Saccharomyces cerevisiae S288C: one gene and its partners. The gene in region 2 interacts genetically with the main gene of each other region. Each region holds a gene or a part of one and is shown on either strand. Other genes may lie near its edges. The genes, in order: DIT2, KGD4, BUD6 and SST2.

The links.
Region 1: mutations in KGD4 (region 2) and DIT2 together harm fitness more than expected from each alone (negative genetic interaction), as found in Saccharomyces cerevisiae (2 studies listed by BioGRID).
Region 3: mutations in KGD4 (region 2) and BUD6 together harm fitness more than expected from each alone (negative genetic interaction), as found in Saccharomyces cerevisiae (2 studies listed by BioGRID).
Region 4: mutations in KGD4 (region 2) and SST2 together harm fitness more than expected from each alone (negative genetic interaction), as found in Saccharomyces cerevisiae (2 studies listed by BioGRID).

Annotation. Positions count from the first base shown.
Region 1 is NC_001136.10:1,271,526-1,275,957, forward strand, and holds DIT2 (putative cytochrome P450), read right to left. Parts: upstream 2,179-4,432; coding exon 709-2,178; downstream 1-708. Other genes in the region: URH1 (trifunctional uridine nucleosidase/nicotinamide riboside hydrolase/nicotinic acid riboside hydrolase), read left to right, coding at 1-560; DIT1 (Dit1p), read left to right, coding at 3,077-4,432. UniProt on the Saccharomyces cerevisiae protein: Involved in spore wall maturation. Thought to catalyze the oxidation of tyrosine residues in the formation of LL-dityrosine a precursor of the spore wall.
Region 2 is NC_001138.5:246,350-249,630, reverse strand, and holds KGD4 (alpha-ketoglutarate dehydrogenase subunit KGD4), read right to left. Parts: upstream 1,109-3,281; coding exon 737-1,108; downstream 1-736. Other genes in the region: PRE4 (proteasome core particle subunit beta 7), read left to right, coding at 1-565; RMD8 (Rmd8p), read right to left, coding at 1,497-3,281. UniProt on the Saccharomyces cerevisiae protein: Molecular adapter that is necessary to a form a stable 2-oxoglutarate dehydrogenase enzyme complex (OGDC).
Region 3 is NC_001144.5:768,638-773,767, forward strand, and holds BUD6 (formin-mediated actin nucleation enhancer), read right to left. Parts: upstream 3,048-5,130; coding exon 681-3,047; downstream 1-680. Other genes in the region: EST2 (telomerase reverse transcriptase), read left to right, coding at 1-559; MMS22 (Mms22p), read left to right, coding at 3,303-5,130.
Region 4 is NC_001144.5:1,038,288-1,043,140, forward strand, and holds SST2 (GTPase-activating protein SST2), read right to left. Parts: upstream 3,080-4,853; coding exon 983-3,079; downstream 1-982. Other genes in the region: leucine-responsive transcriptional regulator LEU3, read left to right, coding at 1-466; RIF2 (Rif2p), read right to left, coding at 3,512-4,699. UniProt on the Saccharomyces cerevisiae protein: Desensitization to alpha-factor pheromone. Is involved in regulating the signaling pathway for responding to mating pheromone.

The DNA of each region.
Region 1 (4,432 bases), on a different chromosome or scaffold from region 2:
TTATGGGGGGTGGACTCCATGGTCTAGGAAACTGTAACCCAAATCTTTCTGCTGAATTCAACGTTTGGATTGATCCTGACGCAGCGAATTACATATTCCGTGATCCCGATGTAAAGGACAAATGTATAGTAGTTCCTCTAAATTTAACTCACAAGGCCATAGCTACTTACAAGGTTAACGAAATGATATACAACGAAAAGAATAACAGCAAGTTACGAGAATTGTTTTTGGAGCTTTTTCAATTTTTTGCTCATACCTACAAGGATATGCAAGGATTTGAATCGGGCCCACCTATACATGATCCGGTAGCTTTGATGCCGCTTTTGGAATTTTATGGGTGGGATCCATCGTCTGCGGTTGGATTTCGCTACAAGAGAATGGACATATCCTGCATTGATGATGTTTTCAACGAAAACTCAGGGAAAATTATCATTGAAAAAGAATATCCAAATGACAGTGATGTTGGTACAATAATTGGTCTCGATTTGAATATCCAGTACTTTTGGGATCAGATTTTTGAAGCATTAAATAGAGCAGACAAAATGTCAACGATTGGATAAGAACTTCTATAAAAGGCTTTTTTTTTTTCTACTGACCTTTGGTCAGGTTCTGTTCCTTTCATTTTCACTGGATACAAAGAAGTTTCACTAAAAGTTGTCGCGATTGTATACATATATGCGTATATATACAATTCTACATGTTTTATATTTATTCCATTATATTCTCGTTAAATTTTAACTTTAAATTAAGAGGGCAAAGAGGCCCAGCGGGAGTTAATTTTTCTTCCCATTCAGGGTCAAGACTCCATCGAAACTGTTTCAACATTTCAGCCAAAGAAATTCTCATTTCTGTTAGGGCTAGTTTTTCCCCTAGGCATGCTCTTCGGCCTCCATGGAACCCAGTCACAGCACATCTGTTTTTCGCCATTCTCCAGTTTTTCCTTATGGTTTCGATATCTGAACCCCATCTTTCTGGTTTAAAATCATCTGCTGTTGTGCCCCAAGTTTTGGGATCGTGTGAGGTTCCAAAGTTGTTGTACCCGACATATACGCCCTTGGGTATAACAATTTCCGCCCCCAACTTGCACGTTTTGGTAGTACATCTATTAATAATTGTGCTCAAAGGAGGATACATTCTTACTACTTCGAAGAGAAAAGCATTTAATAAGGGTAAATCTGCTAAGCCTTTTGGATCAGTGATGCCGTTTACTTCCTTCCTGAGTTTCTCTTGCCATTCATTTGAATATTTGGCTAGAAGGTAGAGTGAACTATTAAATAGCAACTGCGGGTTTTCATGGCCAGCGACAAGGATAATGACGATATTATCGGTCAACTGTTTGTAGTCGATTATTTCGTTATTGTGAGCACGAATTAGATCACTGGCAGCAAAAGTAGTTTGTTCAAATTTGTAATTATTGACTAATTCATCTTGAACTCTTTTAACGAGAAGTTCTCTAAAACTAACAACATCCTTGAAGGCTTTTTTTCTTGAAGGAATAGGAAGAACATCAAGGAATGGAAAAGTTAAAAAGAATGGATGAAATATTTGCTTTTTAATACGAATCAAATGCTCGTGGAAAGCATTTTTTTCATGTGTTAGAGCACCAAAATCAAATCCAAGGGCAACCTGTGAAATGTTATCCAATGCCATTCTCTGGGATAAAGGTCCCATAGGGATCGAAGTTTGTCCTTCTAGGAGTCTGTTTTTTATCAAAGTGCATAAAATTTTTGCATTTTTGAATATAGGTGCATCGTCAAAATGTTGGAGCCCGTTTGTCACAGCATTTCTGTAGTTTCTCCAAACTGCACCATACGCGCTAATGACATTGTCCCCTGTGTAAGCGGCAAGAGCACTGTATGGGATTTTCTTTTGATTACCGCTCTTCGCAAAAGTATCTTCATCTTTGAATATTTGTGCTAGATACTCAGAACGAGAAACGAGAATATTCCACCGTGAACCAAAGAAAAATTTTACAGCACCGTATTTTTCCATTGATTCCCTAATATAAAGATCGTATAGCTCCGTTTGATCAATGGGAAATATTACTGGTAAAAATACTACATAAAATGGGATGGTGGGTATATTTTTGGGAAAGTTTAGAGGTGGGACAATGATTGCAAAGGCGACATAGGAAAGAGTAAGAAATAAAATCAAACACAGAAGCTTTAACAACTCCATTTTTAATGCTTTTTTCGATTTATTCTCTTAGTCTGAATCAAATACCATTTTGAAAAAACGAAAATATTTCAAGAAAATTAATGTATTTTTTTGCACTACCTAATATACTATTCGCATCAGGATGACCAGTCATTCCTCTTGTGGTCCGTGGCTTGTAATTTTCGGGAAAGATAGAAATCACTGCATTCATCGAAAGAAGTGAAAATAAATTGTATCGGGGAAGTAATGAGGGGTGGAATACGTAATTGCTTCTCAATTTGATAATACAAGTTACAGTCTTTTTATTGAGAGTCCCTGGAAGGAAAATTATTGATGTTTACCTTTTTTTGCGACGCGCGTCTGGCCATAAATAAAAGGGTTCTCTTGCCAAGAAAAAATAAAAAGGCGCCTTAAGGGACCTTCTATGACAAATATGGTGAGGTATGCAACCTCAATGAAGAGCAATGAGAAAATTTAAGGGGTAAGTAAGCATCGGAATTTGTTGTTTCCTAACAATTTGTCTAATTTACTCAATAATATCAGGAGAATTGATCGAAAAAAGCAAACCAGGAACCCCTCACAAATAAGGGAACATAAAGTAATTGCTCGTCTTTACATACATGGCACTCAATCCCAGACGTCGCGTGCTAAAAATCCTTATATTATTGGCCCCTCAGGAGTTTATTTGAATTTTGATTGCATTGCTTTCAGTGGACAGTATATCATAAAATTTGCAAGGGCATAGTGCCTGCCCTACGATGTTGTAAAACAATTTCTGAAAATAGGTTCAGAATCAAAAATGATGTATAAATATTGAAATAAATTTTCACATAAATTGTGCTCCTCCGCAAAGTCTTGACTAAATAAACAATTTGTTAATATCCTAATTCGGTAAAGCTTTGTCGAGACATTAACAAAAATGACATTTACTAGCAACTTGCCCTCAAGCTCCGAGCAGTCAATATCACCACCTGCCTCTTCATTTTCTTCATCGACTGATACGTTGAAAGATATTGATATTCCCCATAATGGGGCCGATTTGTCTACATATAGTAAATTTCTGGCCCTGTATTGCAGAAGCGACAAATGTGACGATTTTTACTCTTTAGAGGAAAAACAGAATTGTAAATTTGGAGACCAATGGCTCGACTTTATCAACACTATTCACAATCTGGACTTTTCTGAATCCGAAGTAAGTGGACGGGTTTCTGAAAGAATTTTGCCAGCTTCTTTAGCAAATAAATTTACCAATAATTTAGGAGTGGCAATAAAGATTTCTGAATATACACGCGATGACGAACGCCAGATTCGTGGGTGTGTTACAACAGTTGAGAATGAAAATTCTTTCAATAACTGGTTCGTATATCATATTTTAGACCAATCTCAATTATCTCTAAGTGAACATCCAATTGTAACCAAAGAAGTTAAGTATCACGAATTATTTGCAGATTTTTTTGAGAAAAATTTGAAAAACACAATAGTTAATGATCAATGGAATTTTGGTGGCCGTGATTATTTTATTGAACGTTCAAGATATTTTACCGATCGATATTTGAGAATTGAATGCATCTTGCCAGCGTTTCCATGTAAGTCATCTAATGAGCAAAAAGTGTACGGTTCCGTTCCTGACAAAGGCGAAGAACTCGCTTTGAAAAGATTAATAAAAGCCACACAAGACCTTGTCAAGATATATCCACCGGGTATGAAAATTTGGATAGTTAGTGATGGCCATGTTTTCTCCGATTGTATTGGGGTCGATGATGACGTCGTGAGTACTTACACGACCAAATTGCACGAACTGTATAAAAGAGTGGCTATACCTGGTGTTGACGCCATTGGCTTTTGTGGATTGAACGATTTATTTTTTAGCGGTGCAGCTAGTAAAGTTTTCGATCCAAAGTGGGTTAGTGATGTTGAAGTTGCACACTACACAGGAACTCAAATCTGTCCTAAGTCCGATTTGTCGAGACAGATTTTGATGAAAGGCTGTGATACAGATGCAGGTCGTTTGAGAAAGCAGATTGCAATAGAAGGACATCCAAGATTGCATCTGTATAGGGGCTTTTCACGTTTTATGATGGAAGATTTATCTCTACTGGAACATTTCCAAAGTTATTCCAGAAAAAAATTCAAGAAAATCATTTCAATGATCGCTTTTAACATGATTAAGAGAAATGACGCGTATTCGAACTTAGTGGAATTGATATTCCCTCATCATTTGAGAATTTCTATTCATGCGCACACTAACAGCGGGCCCAAATTTGGTATAAAAGTA
Region 2 (3,281 bases):
TGATAACACCGTTGTGGGCATTTCAGGTGATATTTCTGATATGCAACACATTGAGAGATTATTGAAAGATCTAGTCACTGAAAATGCGTATGACAATCCTCTAGCGGATGCTGAAGAAGCGCTCGAACCCAGCTATATTTTTGAATATCTAGCTACCGTCATGTACCAGCGAAGATCAAAGATGAATCCACTTTGGAATGCCATCATTGTTGCTGGTGTACAGTCTAATGGTGATCAATTCCTAAGATACGTAAATCTTCTAGGTGTTACGTATTCGTCTCCCACCTTGGCCACAGGTTTTGGGGCACACATGGCAAACCCACTGTTAAGGAAAGTTGTAGATCGAGAATCTGATATTCCAAAGACCACTGTACAGGTTGCTGAAGAGGCGATCGTAAATGCAATGAGAGTTCTTTATTATAGAGATGCCCGTTCTTCTAGAAACTTCTCACTGGCCATAATTGATAAGAACACAGGTTTAACTTTCAAGAAAAACTTGCAAGTTGAAAACATGAAATGGGACTTCGCCAAGGATATTAAAGGCTACGGTACTCAAAAAATTTAGAAGAGTTTTATCCCACCTTCATTAAATACTCATTTTATTTTTATTTTTCAATTCATAATATCATCACTCTTCTCTCTTCCTAAGTAACTACGTTTTTACATAGATATAATGATATGTGTAAAGAAACTATAAAATAACAAAAAAAAATCATAATATTACTGCATCTATCCTTCACCATGCACCACCGCTATTTATGCTCTCCAATTCATGCTCGTTAATAGGTTTGTACCGAAACCTAGCAGGTAGCTCGAAAATGGAAGCAAGCTCATCTTTTTGCAATGGCCTGTTAACGAATACAGAGGTCTTTGACGAGCTGAGACCAGCATTAGCGCTATGCTTTATTGGCACTACACGGAATGGTTTATAATTTTCCATGAATTTACTCACTGGAATACACTCTTTGCTGCCAGGTAACATTCCGTTGGTAGCGCAAGGATGAACAACGACCTCAGTTGCATGCTTCACTAAGGGATGCCTTGTACCGACGAATTTTATCATCGGCTCATATGCACTCTTTGCTAATCTTATAGGTGTAGCAATCATTTCCCTGTCTTCTTGTACTTTTATCTTACTCTTATTATCGGTTAAAAACCTGGGGAAGTACTCCTTAATGGTTTGCTTTAAAGAATTCAATGCGGCTAGAAATGAAAAAGACTTTTAAGATCACTGAAACACTGCAATCTGGCTAAAATATTAGTCTTCACTATCGTCTTTTTCTCCTTTGTTGATGCGAAAGATGAATTTACATATTCGAGTCCCTTAGTCATATTATTGTACTTTTAATGCAATCTTGAGGGGAGCCAATCAACGAGTGGTTTTACTTGCACGTGACCAAGAATGGTAATAACGGTGAAATATATGACTAAAAACCTTGATAACTAAATATATCATTAATTTATTTTTAATGCCGTCTAGAAGGGTGTATGAATATCTATGTAGAAGTATGACGATGAATAATTACATAACGAACGAAAATCTCTGTTAATGAAAATATAACTCCAAATAAAATGACAAGAATAAACCACCATGTAACACGAGCCATGTTTCTTTCAGCAACAGAGTCAACGCATATATCAAAGAATTCCAAGAAAACTTTGCAACGATCATTTAATACTTGTACTCTTTGGTCAATTTCTAAATACTCCCTCATTGCCACGTACAGTGGATGCAAACTTGGTTCGAACGACCAAAAAAACTCGGGTGTATCCAATATGGTGGATGAAAGGTTAACATCCACTCTCAATTTAAAGAGCTTCCCTGATTTTTTCAAAAGCTGTTCCCTTTTTAACCCAAGGGTACCATATAATGCTAGTCTTTTAGGTAGTTTTGTGACTGATATTAAAATCGGCGAAATTCTGGATTCAAACCTTGATAATTTCGAAGATTGCGCAATCGCATGTGATAGTGTCAGCTCGATAATGTGGTCACCTGAACGTAATGTGACAATATCATTGAAAATTCTCGGTCTCTCGGTATCTCTGTCATATTCGAAATGGAATTGTTCAGTTTCAATATCTTGTTCATCCAGCGGCCGGATCATTAAATTCTTATAATCTGCAAATGTTATATCACCAAGAATATTTTTCTCTTGAATTTCAGTAAAGTTCCAAAAAACAATAACGCCATAGTGAAAAATGAAAATTTCTGCATGTCTATCATTGCCTTCATGGTCGTTGTCCCTATGCATTTTATATACACGATCAAAATCATTCTGTGATGAAGATGGTGGCGATGGCGTAGATATTGATGATGGCGAAGCTGGTGAACGAGAGGACTGTACATACTGATCGTTTCCCTCAACAGCATAAAGTTTACTCTTATCATTATTTTTATTATTATTATCGTTGCCACAACTTGCATCACTGTCGTTTTCCTCCTTCTTCAGCATGTTTATTCTTTCTGTCCTTTCCCGTTTCTCTATCTCTAAGGGAGTTTCTTCCGCAAAAAATTGTGGTTCCATAGGATTAAAAGAGTCTTGCTGACCAACTGGATTTGGTAGATGATCGGGAACTGTTGTGGTGTCTTGATTAGCGTTATTGTTATTTCCACTGGTTTCTAGTTCGTAATTATTATTTGCATCTTCCACAGTTTCCACACCTGAGTAATATTCATAATGATGATCTCTCTGTTCGCTTGTATCAATTAAATTATCAATTAATGTCTTTCCACCCATTGTTTTCTTAGATAAATTTGATTTGATTCTAAAACCGCCTTTACCTGGTAGAAGTGGCAAAGTATACGCAACGTATAGACACTCATCATACAATCTTGGTGAAACCTCATGAGTTTCCTGCAGAAACTTATACAATTGGTTGAGATTGAAGCCATCAGCAACATTATATGCGGTGATTCTTGCCATGGACTTTTCTTTTGAGTATCGAGGTAGCCGATCGAAGGAATTAGACTTCATAGAGCCCACTTTCGGTCTTTGCCTATCCAGCGCGTTCGTTGGTAGAGTTTGAAAGTGGTTCAAGTTGTCGTCTTCCGGTATCAACACTAACTTTTGTGACGTCTTCGATGTTCTTGGAGGCAGGGGATTGATCATCTTTCTACGCGAACTTAACCGCTCATATTGGCGAGGCCTATCGCTTGAAGAGCTGGATAGCCTTTCCTCTCTTCTGGCAGAGGGAATATCTGAATTATCAGAAAGAATATTATCTATGGATATATCGCTAAACCTGCCAGACGATCGCCTTCTTGGATGAGTAAAACTCTG
Region 3 (5,130 bases), on a different chromosome or scaffold from region 2:
AGCCAATAGAGACAAAATTTTAGCCGTAAGCTCCCAATCAGATGATGATACGGTTATTCAATTTTGTGCAATGCACATATTTGTTAAAGAATTGGAAGTTTGGAAACATTCAAGCACAATGAATAATTTCCATATCCGTTCGAAATCTAGTAAAGGGATATTTCGAAGTTTAATAGCGCTGTTTAACACTAGAATCTCTTATAAAACAATTGACACAAATTTAAATTCAACAAACACCGTTCTCATGCAAATTGATCATGTTGTAAAGAACATTTCGGAATGTTATAAATCTGCTTTTAAGGATCTATCAATTAATGTTACGCAAAATATGCAATTTCATTCGTTCTTACAACGCATCATTGAAATGACAGTCAGCGGTTGTCCAATTACGAAATGTGATCCTTTAATCGAGTATGAGGTACGATTCACCATATTGAATGGATTTTTGGAAAGCCTATCTTCAAACACATCAAAATTTAAAGATAATATCATTCTTTTGAGAAAGGAAATTCAACACTTGCAAGCATATATATATATATATATACATATAGTTAATTAGTACTAATAATACATGAAATACTGACAGCTTATGATGCTGATAAGGAAAATATTGCCGCAAACTTTGTAATAAGCCAAAAGCACTAATCTCTTTTCCGTTAGCTTTCATAAAATTAGTGTATTTAAGTAAACCCCGGCCCAAAATATGCTCTCAAATTTGCTTCATCCTTCTGCTTTCTTATCCTTTCTACTTCTTCAAAGCCTCCCGATTTTTTCAGGTTTGAATTACCCACAAAATTTTCCAGTTCATCATCAAATTCATTACTAGCTTTAAGTTTTCTTTCCATCTCCCACATCTTCTCAGCCTTGTCAATAGCTTCGACCCTACTATCGTGGTCAGGGTTTAAAGATTGGACGGCCACCATAACTTGCTCCCTTACCTGATTAAATGTGCCCGGTCTCATAATAGGCAAAATAGGATTACTTTTTGATCTCGAAGGGTTTTTTTCTTGTTCTTCACAACATAACTTAATAAGATCGAAAGTTTCTAATGCCTTACCCAAGTCTTCCTTCAAATCTAAAATCAACTCTTCCTGCAACGTGAGAAACTGTTGTTCTTCACAGACCTTATCGAGCTCAGCTTCCCAAGTTTTTTTCCAATGTGGTTTTTCAGTATCAATAAACTCCTGTAGTTTAAGTACATCTGCTTGGGCATTTTCTAAATCCTTGGATACGGTTTCTAGCTTCTTTTTAGCGGGCTGAGACCTACGCTCAGCAACGTCTTTCCTCATAATTTCGATTACATCTTGCAAATCATCTACTTTACTTAGCAGAGTATCGGATAAATCACCGAGTTCGGTCTGTGATTTTTCCATGTACATTCTGTTGGAAGAGTTTTTGGCAGAAAATGATAAAGACTTAAAGTTATCGACCTTTCGTAAAATGTTGAAAATAGTCTCATTAATATTTGACCTATTAATATTATGCACTTGTTTTATTTTCCCCAATTCGTACTGAATATCTTTGATCGTTTTATCATCATCTTTTTTGTTTTGCCCCACAAGATCGTGTTTGTTAGCTTCAAGGCCAGGTTGTGGTAAAACTTCCGTTTGCTTGCCGCTAATTGCAGAACCAAAACTCATTTCTTTTAAATGTCTTATTATATCATTCTGACTATTCGATATCTCCATCTTAACTGTGTCAATGAATTCCTTGATCGTATTATTTGGATTCTCTTCGAGCTTTAGCTCGATAACAAACCCTTCTTTAATATCGAGAAGATTTAGTTCCTCTAATTCATAGAATACTCCATATTGAGGATCCATAATATATATGTCTGGGAAGGAATTTGCTCCAGGAGAATACGCAAAGCGCTCAATAAATAGGAGCCTTAATGCGTTTTTTGTAGTAGGCAGTTGCACATGACACTTCTTTGTTTTGTCTCCTATCCTTAAAAATACTGGACAAGTTCCATTCATGGCTTTATCTGGCGAAGTTGTAACAACGCTTGATAATCTTCGTGGAGATGCACGAACATTCTCAATAGGCAATGGCGTTTTCGCCAATGGACTCGCCTTTGATACATCGTCAATGCTTTTACCCTTATTTTCAGCTGAATTAATGTTTCTATCATCATCATTGTTGTTATTTCCGTATAACTTTGACTTTCTTACGGTTTCCTCTAGATGCAACATCGAGGGTGAAGGAGTTGTCATGAGGCCGGCAGCCGCAGCAGCTTCTGTTGTAGACTGATTTGTCAATTTAGCCATATGGTAGGCAGAGTATCTCTTTGAGGCTCTCCTTTGTAAATTAGTTCCCTTCTTCAATTGTGAAAGTGCATCATCATCATCAGATGCGTTTGGAGCATTGTTAGATTTAAGGTTTTGTTTAATATTAGTTCTTGGTTTTGTCAATGTTGCCTCTGCTGACTGAGCAGAGGGTGTTCCCGTAGAAGTAGAATTCACTTTTTCCCCATAGCTGTTTTCGACTGAATCGCTTTGCCTCTGATCACGTACAATACTGCTTTTTCTGCTACTTAATGGAGTCCCCTCACGGGTCCCTTCACTACCCAATGAAAGGTTACTAGTAAAGGAAGGGTTTTGTTGATGATGTGATTTTACACTTATCCGATGCTCTTGCTGCATATTCTTCAAAATTGCTTGTTTAACCTTTAGTTTGTCTAAAAGTGTCACTATAATCTCTCTGATTTTTGGCAGATGTTTATTTAAAGTTTCATCAGATGGTGGTTCCCTCAATGTCACTTCCAATACACGTCTTAAAGCCATTGGCACATCACCAACATCTGACATGTCAACTTTCGCATGCATGAAGAATTTCGATACGACTTTGAAGTCATTGCCCAACTGAACGTATGCATCAGATACTAATCTTCCAGAGGTTGTCCCCTTAGACCATTGTGTTAAGACCTGGAGGAGGTGCTTGGTGGACATCAGCAACTTTGTTACTGTCGTTTCAATACTACTACTGCTAGAAGCAGTTCTTTTAATCTTTGGGGTGCCATACGTAGGGTCATCCACGGCCATCTTCATCTAATTTTAAAATAATACGAGGATTACTACACCAATTTGGCAGCCAGCTTCTACTCTTTTTCCCTTTTCTTGGGTTTGTTTTGATGCCATTATCTCAAGAATGCATAATAGTAGGATAAAATTCGTTCAGCTCGGCTAGCGAGATATCTTCAAAGAGTAAAGCGCATCTGCGTGTAAAATTAAATTCAAGAAGTGAAAGAATAAAAGATAGGATTGTAGATTTGAAGTTTAGTGGTAGCGTCAGCAGATAAGCTTATGGATGTTGATGAACCGAATCCTATTGTGATATCAGATTCTGAGGCCACTGATGAGGAAATTAGTATCATATACGAACCCGAATTCAATGAAAATTATTTATGGGCAGAGGAAAACGTCCAAGAAGCAAGCAGATCACAGAAAATTGTCACTGAGAGGTTGAGCCTGGATTCCACTGCTGGAGAATCTTGTACTCCTTCCGTAGTAACTGATACACAAGTTACTACGGGGCTTCGGTGGTCTTTGAGGAAGAGGAAGGCTATTCAAAAGATGCCATACAGTTTAGAACGCATAAAGCATAGGCAGTTGCTAGAGGGCTATGATATCTCTAGTTTTGACAGCATTTCGAATCAGTTGACCTTACCGAAGAACGCTTCTACAGTGATTCACTCAAATGATATTTTACTTACAAAGAGAACTGGTAAACCCTTAGATGAGCAGAAAGATGTTACAATCGACTCCATTAAACCCGAAAACAGCTCGGTTCAATCTCAAAGATATGATAGTGATGAAGAAATACCAAAGAAAAGGCATCGTACTTTTAAAGACCTCGACCAGGATATAGTATTTCAATCAGGTGATTCTACGGAAGATGAACAAGACTTGGCTAGTACAAATTTACAGAATACTCAAAATGACGAAGTAATATTTAGAGGAAGAGTATTGAATGTAAGAACTGGTTACCGTGGGGTCCTGCCAAGAGTTGCTTGGGAAAAGTCGTTGCAAAAGCAGCAGTCTTCAAAAGTCACGAAAAGAAAAACTCAATTATTGAACCATAAGGGTGTGGCTAAGAGGAAAATGAACAGAAGCGCCCATATTGAAGATGAAGAACAGAACTTATTGAACGATCTTATTGCACCTGATGACGAACTGGATATCGAGGAAAACGCCCCTCCAGATATATACTTAGGAAATCTTCCAGAGGATCGTGAGGCTAACGAAAAGGAATTAAAGGAATTGCAAGAATATTATGAGAGCAAGTATAGTGAAGACGCACAATCGGCTGGAACTTCTGGTTTTAATTTAAATGAGGAATACCGCAATGAACCAGTGTATGAGCTGGAATATGACGGACCGGGGAGCTGCATATCACATGTGTCTTATAAAGACCAGCCTATTATTTATTTGAATTCACGGCATTCAGATAGCGGATTTAGTGAGCAATACAATATATCTGCCGAAGATAATCAAAGTGTAATTTCCCTAGATGCTGCTGAAGAGCATAACGATGGTATAATTGACAAGATGTTGGTTAAACCTAAAAGAATTAAAGCAACCAATGATGCCAACTTTTTGAATACAAAAAGTAAGAGAGTGAGAAGATATAAGTACAAATATCGAAATTCTTGTCTGGCCCCAAGTACAAAAGCTATCAAAGTCGGAAAACGGTCAGCGCATAAATCTCATTTGGCAGCTAATAATCCAGTTTCATTTGTTTCTAAGAAGAATCATGTAATTGATGATTATTTTTTTGAAGAATTAGAATCTCAATCCCTAGAACAGGATGACAGCTCTTCTCTCAAGCCACAGAAAAAAAGAAGGAAGAAGAAAGCACCTATATACTCAAGTTTCTCCGCTGATCTTGAATCGAGACGAAAACCAGTTTTCAATACTGTTGTAGAGGTTCCCACGAACCGATACGCTTTCACAAAGCCAAATGTACGTAATAGGGACAGCATTAATCATGACATGGAATTTGAGGAAGAAGACTCCAATCAAGAGCTTGGACCAATAATGGTCGTACTTGACTCAATTTTACTAAAAAAACCTTTTGAGCCACCTAATTTCTTCAAGATCCAGTTGTCAGACAAGAGTTTCTTGCTATCAA
Region 4 (4,853 bases), on a different chromosome or scaffold from region 2:
AATTCCGCTAGACCCAAATCCAATAAATGCAGGCTCTACCAGCAGTGGAAGCTCATTAACGACCCCAAATAGTCAAGTAGCGAACACTATATCATATAGAGGAATCCTCAATAAAATGTCACCTAGGGAACAACTGAATCATGCAAATTTAGATTCCAGTGTTTCTACAGACATCAAGGACACTGAAGCTGTCAATGAACCTCTGCCAATAGGGAGGAATGCTGAACATCCGGCAAATCAACCGCCTCTTTCAATAACACAAATGCAAGAAAACACACTACCTGCGACACAAGCCAACTCTTCTCTATTAGAAACGTATCCCATTGTTCAATCAAACCCCGTTACAACTACAATCAAAGAATCACCCAATTCCATCATGGCAGGTTGGGATAACTGGGAATCTGATATGGTTTGGAGGGATGTTGATATTTTAATGAATGAATTTGCGTTCAATCCCAAGGTTTAAAGTCCTTTTCTTTTTTTGCGTAATGTTTACTTACCCTCGAAAAAATGTTATGTAATGACTGCGGTGCTACAGGAGAGGTAAATGATTTTCTATATACGTTTATATTTCTTCCATTTACGCACACTATTTTTTGTCCTTGAATAATTTAACTCAAAAAAAGTGTAAAAAACTGTGTCATTAGGTATATGTTCAATACTTTTGATCTTCAAATGACGTAAAAAAAAGTTTTCAGACGGACTTAAACCGCCAACCAGCCTTGGCCACAGGTGTATGATGCGAAGATTCGTAAGCGCTCACGTTAGTCACATCTCAGGATTGGAAATTATACTAGATAATAAATGGCTTTATTTAATCATATTATAGTTGATATAACAAATCACACCTCCGCTTAATTTATACGTAATAGTATTTACAGTCCTTATGGGTATCAAGACATATTAGGTTAGGAGAACTAAAGAAAAAAAAAAGGACTGTTTGTGCAATTGTACCTGAAGATGAGTAAGACTCTCAATGAAATTAGCACTTTTCTTGGATTTCTATTAAAGCGCTAGCATCTTTGTATACGTCTGACTGGGTAAATTTTTGAAAGGAATCGTTATTCATCAGTCTATACATTTCATTGCTAACGATCTCGAAGAGGGGATATAATTTCCTGAGGACCTTCAAAGTTGCTGGAAATGATTCAACCGATTTGGTATCATTTTGGGTGTTGTCCATGCCATAACGAACAATTGTATGTGAATTTTCTACTGATGCATTAGGCGAATGCGTTTCTGCCAGAGTTAACGGGGCAGGTTTATATTCCTTTAACTGATGTTTGAATCCTTGCTTCTTAAATGAACAGTTTTCATTTGAAAGATTTTTTGAAGGTTTTAGACTCACTTCAGGTGGTTCACCTAACGTGTCAGCCTCCGTTGAGCTAATTGATGAAGCTGCTGATTCCGCGGATGCAGGTGATGGATCGTATAGATTAGTAGGAAAGTGTTCCGATAATGGAGAATGAGGGTGCAACATGATGTCAGAAATATTCTGACGCAAGTTATGATGGATATTTAATTGATATGGTGATCCTATCATGATATAGGACGAATAAATGTGATATGCCATTTCAAGGCACTCATTGGCCTGTTTCATTAAAGCTGAATCAATCGTTTTTACGATATTGTTTTTTGAAGTACTGGTATTAGATTTTTTATCACAATGCTTAGAATCTATCAATTTTTTCAGAATTGTCATTTTCTTCAAAAACCTCTTAATCTCAATGAAGACATCCAAATTTTCTACACAAAGTTCCTTTTCTAAATGGCGCCTGAATAAATATCTCATACCTGGATCAGTTAGCACATAGTCCAGTTTATTTAAATTACTCGAAGAGATAAGCATGTCTTGAGAAAAACCTTCACTATCATCCAATGTCTTTTTTTCATCACGAACAGTCATATGACCCCTTAATGTGAAATCTAGGTCTATGGTGCTACCATTTGGTGCTCTAATATTATTGCTCTTACAACCTGTCCAAGAAACCAAATCCCAACCACGCTTGGACAAGGTAAAAAAAGAGGACCTGCTAATTTGAAACTTTTTCTTGTCAGTGCGTGATGGTTGTAAAAGAACTGGTACAATCAACCCCGTTTTTAAAAATAACGCTGCCAACGAGACCGCTTCTTTAACATGCATAATATCAGTACAGTCCATTATCCACTGCCATATAGCCTTTGTTGTAAAGGTGTACTTAATCACGATTTTTTTGGAAGTGCCAAACGTCTTATTTTCAAACAACCTAATACCTGCATTCGAAACGTAGTATTGCGTGTGCGACTCAGAATCTGGATTTGTAAAGAATCGATGAGCTAATGGCGATACCCTTTCTAAGTCATTTATATCGATGTTTCCAATCTGAGCTTGCCATCCTTGTTCTGGCTTAGATTTCTCAAAAGTAAATGTATCATCATTATTAGTGTATTCCAACAACGAAGATAGGCAAGGTAATGGGTCATCTGCGTTTGTTGGAGACCAAACATTTGGCTTAGCGCCCATCATTTTAATGAAAAGAATATGGATCAAATAATCACTATGGATGATTGAATCCGTGACAGAGCTTCTCTCAAAAGTGAAAAGTTTCATGGAGTTAAACGATGACAAAAGAATATCAGGCATTGTTTTCAACCCAATATCTCTAACATACTTTTGTAAAACAGCAACTCCCTTAGGTGTTGGTTGGAAAAGAACTTTCTCTTTTGGCTCGCCACGAGTTCTGTCCTGCGGTGTATGTAGTAGCTTAGAAGACATAAATAATGTAAGAAGGTGGCGCGCCAAACTAGGTTTAATATTATATGAAACGTTAATACAAGTTGTGTTCATATCCACTTTTAGTTCCAATTGTCCCATTGCTTTAATAGCTTCCTGATATGTAAAAGTGAAGTGGAAATGTTTAGTGAATGCAGTTAATAAGAAAGACTTAGTGTCACTACTATGTTTTTTCTCTTTCAAATCCAAACAAATTAGAAAAATGGAATATACTGTCTTTAAATCATTGGTAAAGATCAGTCCATTCGGCGTTCTGCTGAAATTTTTGGAAGATAATTCATGCAACGTCCTATTTTTATCCACCATCTTACAACTCTATCTTTAATTACCAAATTGAACCTATAACGCCTCAGATAGTGCGTGCAAAACCTAGAAGGAACGTACGACAGTAACACCTCCAAAGTTAAAGGACGATGAGAAGTAAAGACAGAGCTGGGATTATGATTTCATTCACCGGTATAAATATAACAGGACAGACAACAATTCTAACGCACCAGCAACCAAATCCAAGTCCTAGTCAAAAAAAAAGCAGTATTGGGATCATTGTTTCAAAATTGAATATTATGAAACGTTTAAAACCCAGACATCCCATAATTATTGAAGATGATTCAGTTAAAACTTCGCATACTTCATGGCTTCTTCATTAATAGAGACAACGGAGGTGGTTCAACTTGAACTTTTCCAAAGGAGTTGCCATCTCTTTGTATTGTTCGAACTCTTTCAAAAGACCTTGGTAATTTATCTATCATGTACTTTTCGAGTTAACTTAAGTGGAAGACGCTGGTTTTTCTTAAAGTTATAAGCACTATGTGGGTAATTTTTTATTGTCAGTCTGTTTCTGATCTTATCCAACAATTCATCAAAAGTTCTACTCTGGACTATAATCTCAGTGTAAGCGTTAAACAAATAGGTAAAAGGGTGCGGAAAGACCTTCAAAAATTCGAAAAAGATTGCTAAGTTGGATTCTTTATTATTCAACTGGCATGTGACAAGCGAGTTGTAAGACTGTAATAACTTGCTTCCGGAATCAAAGGTAAACTTTATCATTTTTTTCAAATATTCTTGTTCTTGAGCGCATGTTAATATCGGCATCTCAAACACAGTATATTTTGTGTTGAGTTTCTTTTTGAGGGATGTCGATAGGAGAGACGAAATGCTAACGTTATTTGAATAAATGAGGACCTTAAATGCAATGTTATTACTTTTTTCAAGTACCGATAAAACATTGATAAATTCGGTAAGCTTCGAAGGTTCTATTATAGTTGAAGTAGATAATTTATCTAATTGTTCGAATTTGAAGTAGACAATATGATCGATACTTTCGTCATTATTTATTTTCCTCATAACCATCATCATTAGGTCAGACGTGTGATTTGAAGGTTTTTCACTAGCTTCGAAATCTAGTTGTCCGCTATATGAAGCCTGCCCCATTGACTCGATACATTCTTTTGATTTGCTTGATTGAATACCCTCTTTCATTAAGTAGTCATTCATTTCTATAATTACGACATTTATATCGACTAAAGACAGTGTTTCTGAAACTGCACGGTCGATACCAGCATATTGGTGTATATGTTCAACTTTGTCGAAGAAAACGATACAATTTTTCATACTCCTAAGATTTTTTGAAAGAAACTTACTTAAGCTCGGAACGTAGCTTATTGACAAATAATTGGTGCCTAGCTCTTGCAAGGCCATTGATTTGAACTTCTGGTAGAAAACATGGTCCACTCGCTCCTTAACTGGACTCGGCTTACACACCTTTGGGCTGCTAACACTTTTTTTAATTGGAACAAGGTTCAACTTTCTCAGTACAGTAAAATTTTTTTGCTCCAAATCATCGCTTATTGCTTTCACAATCTTGTCACTGTCAACAACCTTTTTCGATCTCCTTATAGGTGCAAAATCGGAATCTACATGCTCCATTGTCTCTATATACTAACCACGTTCGTATTTATATCTATATTCGTACATATATTGTTCTAACTTATTGAAATTGATGGTTAAGAAGATCCCTTCTGTACATATCTGTAAGCGCAATGTTTTCTTCATTGAAAACAGCTGCAAAATTAGAAAACTA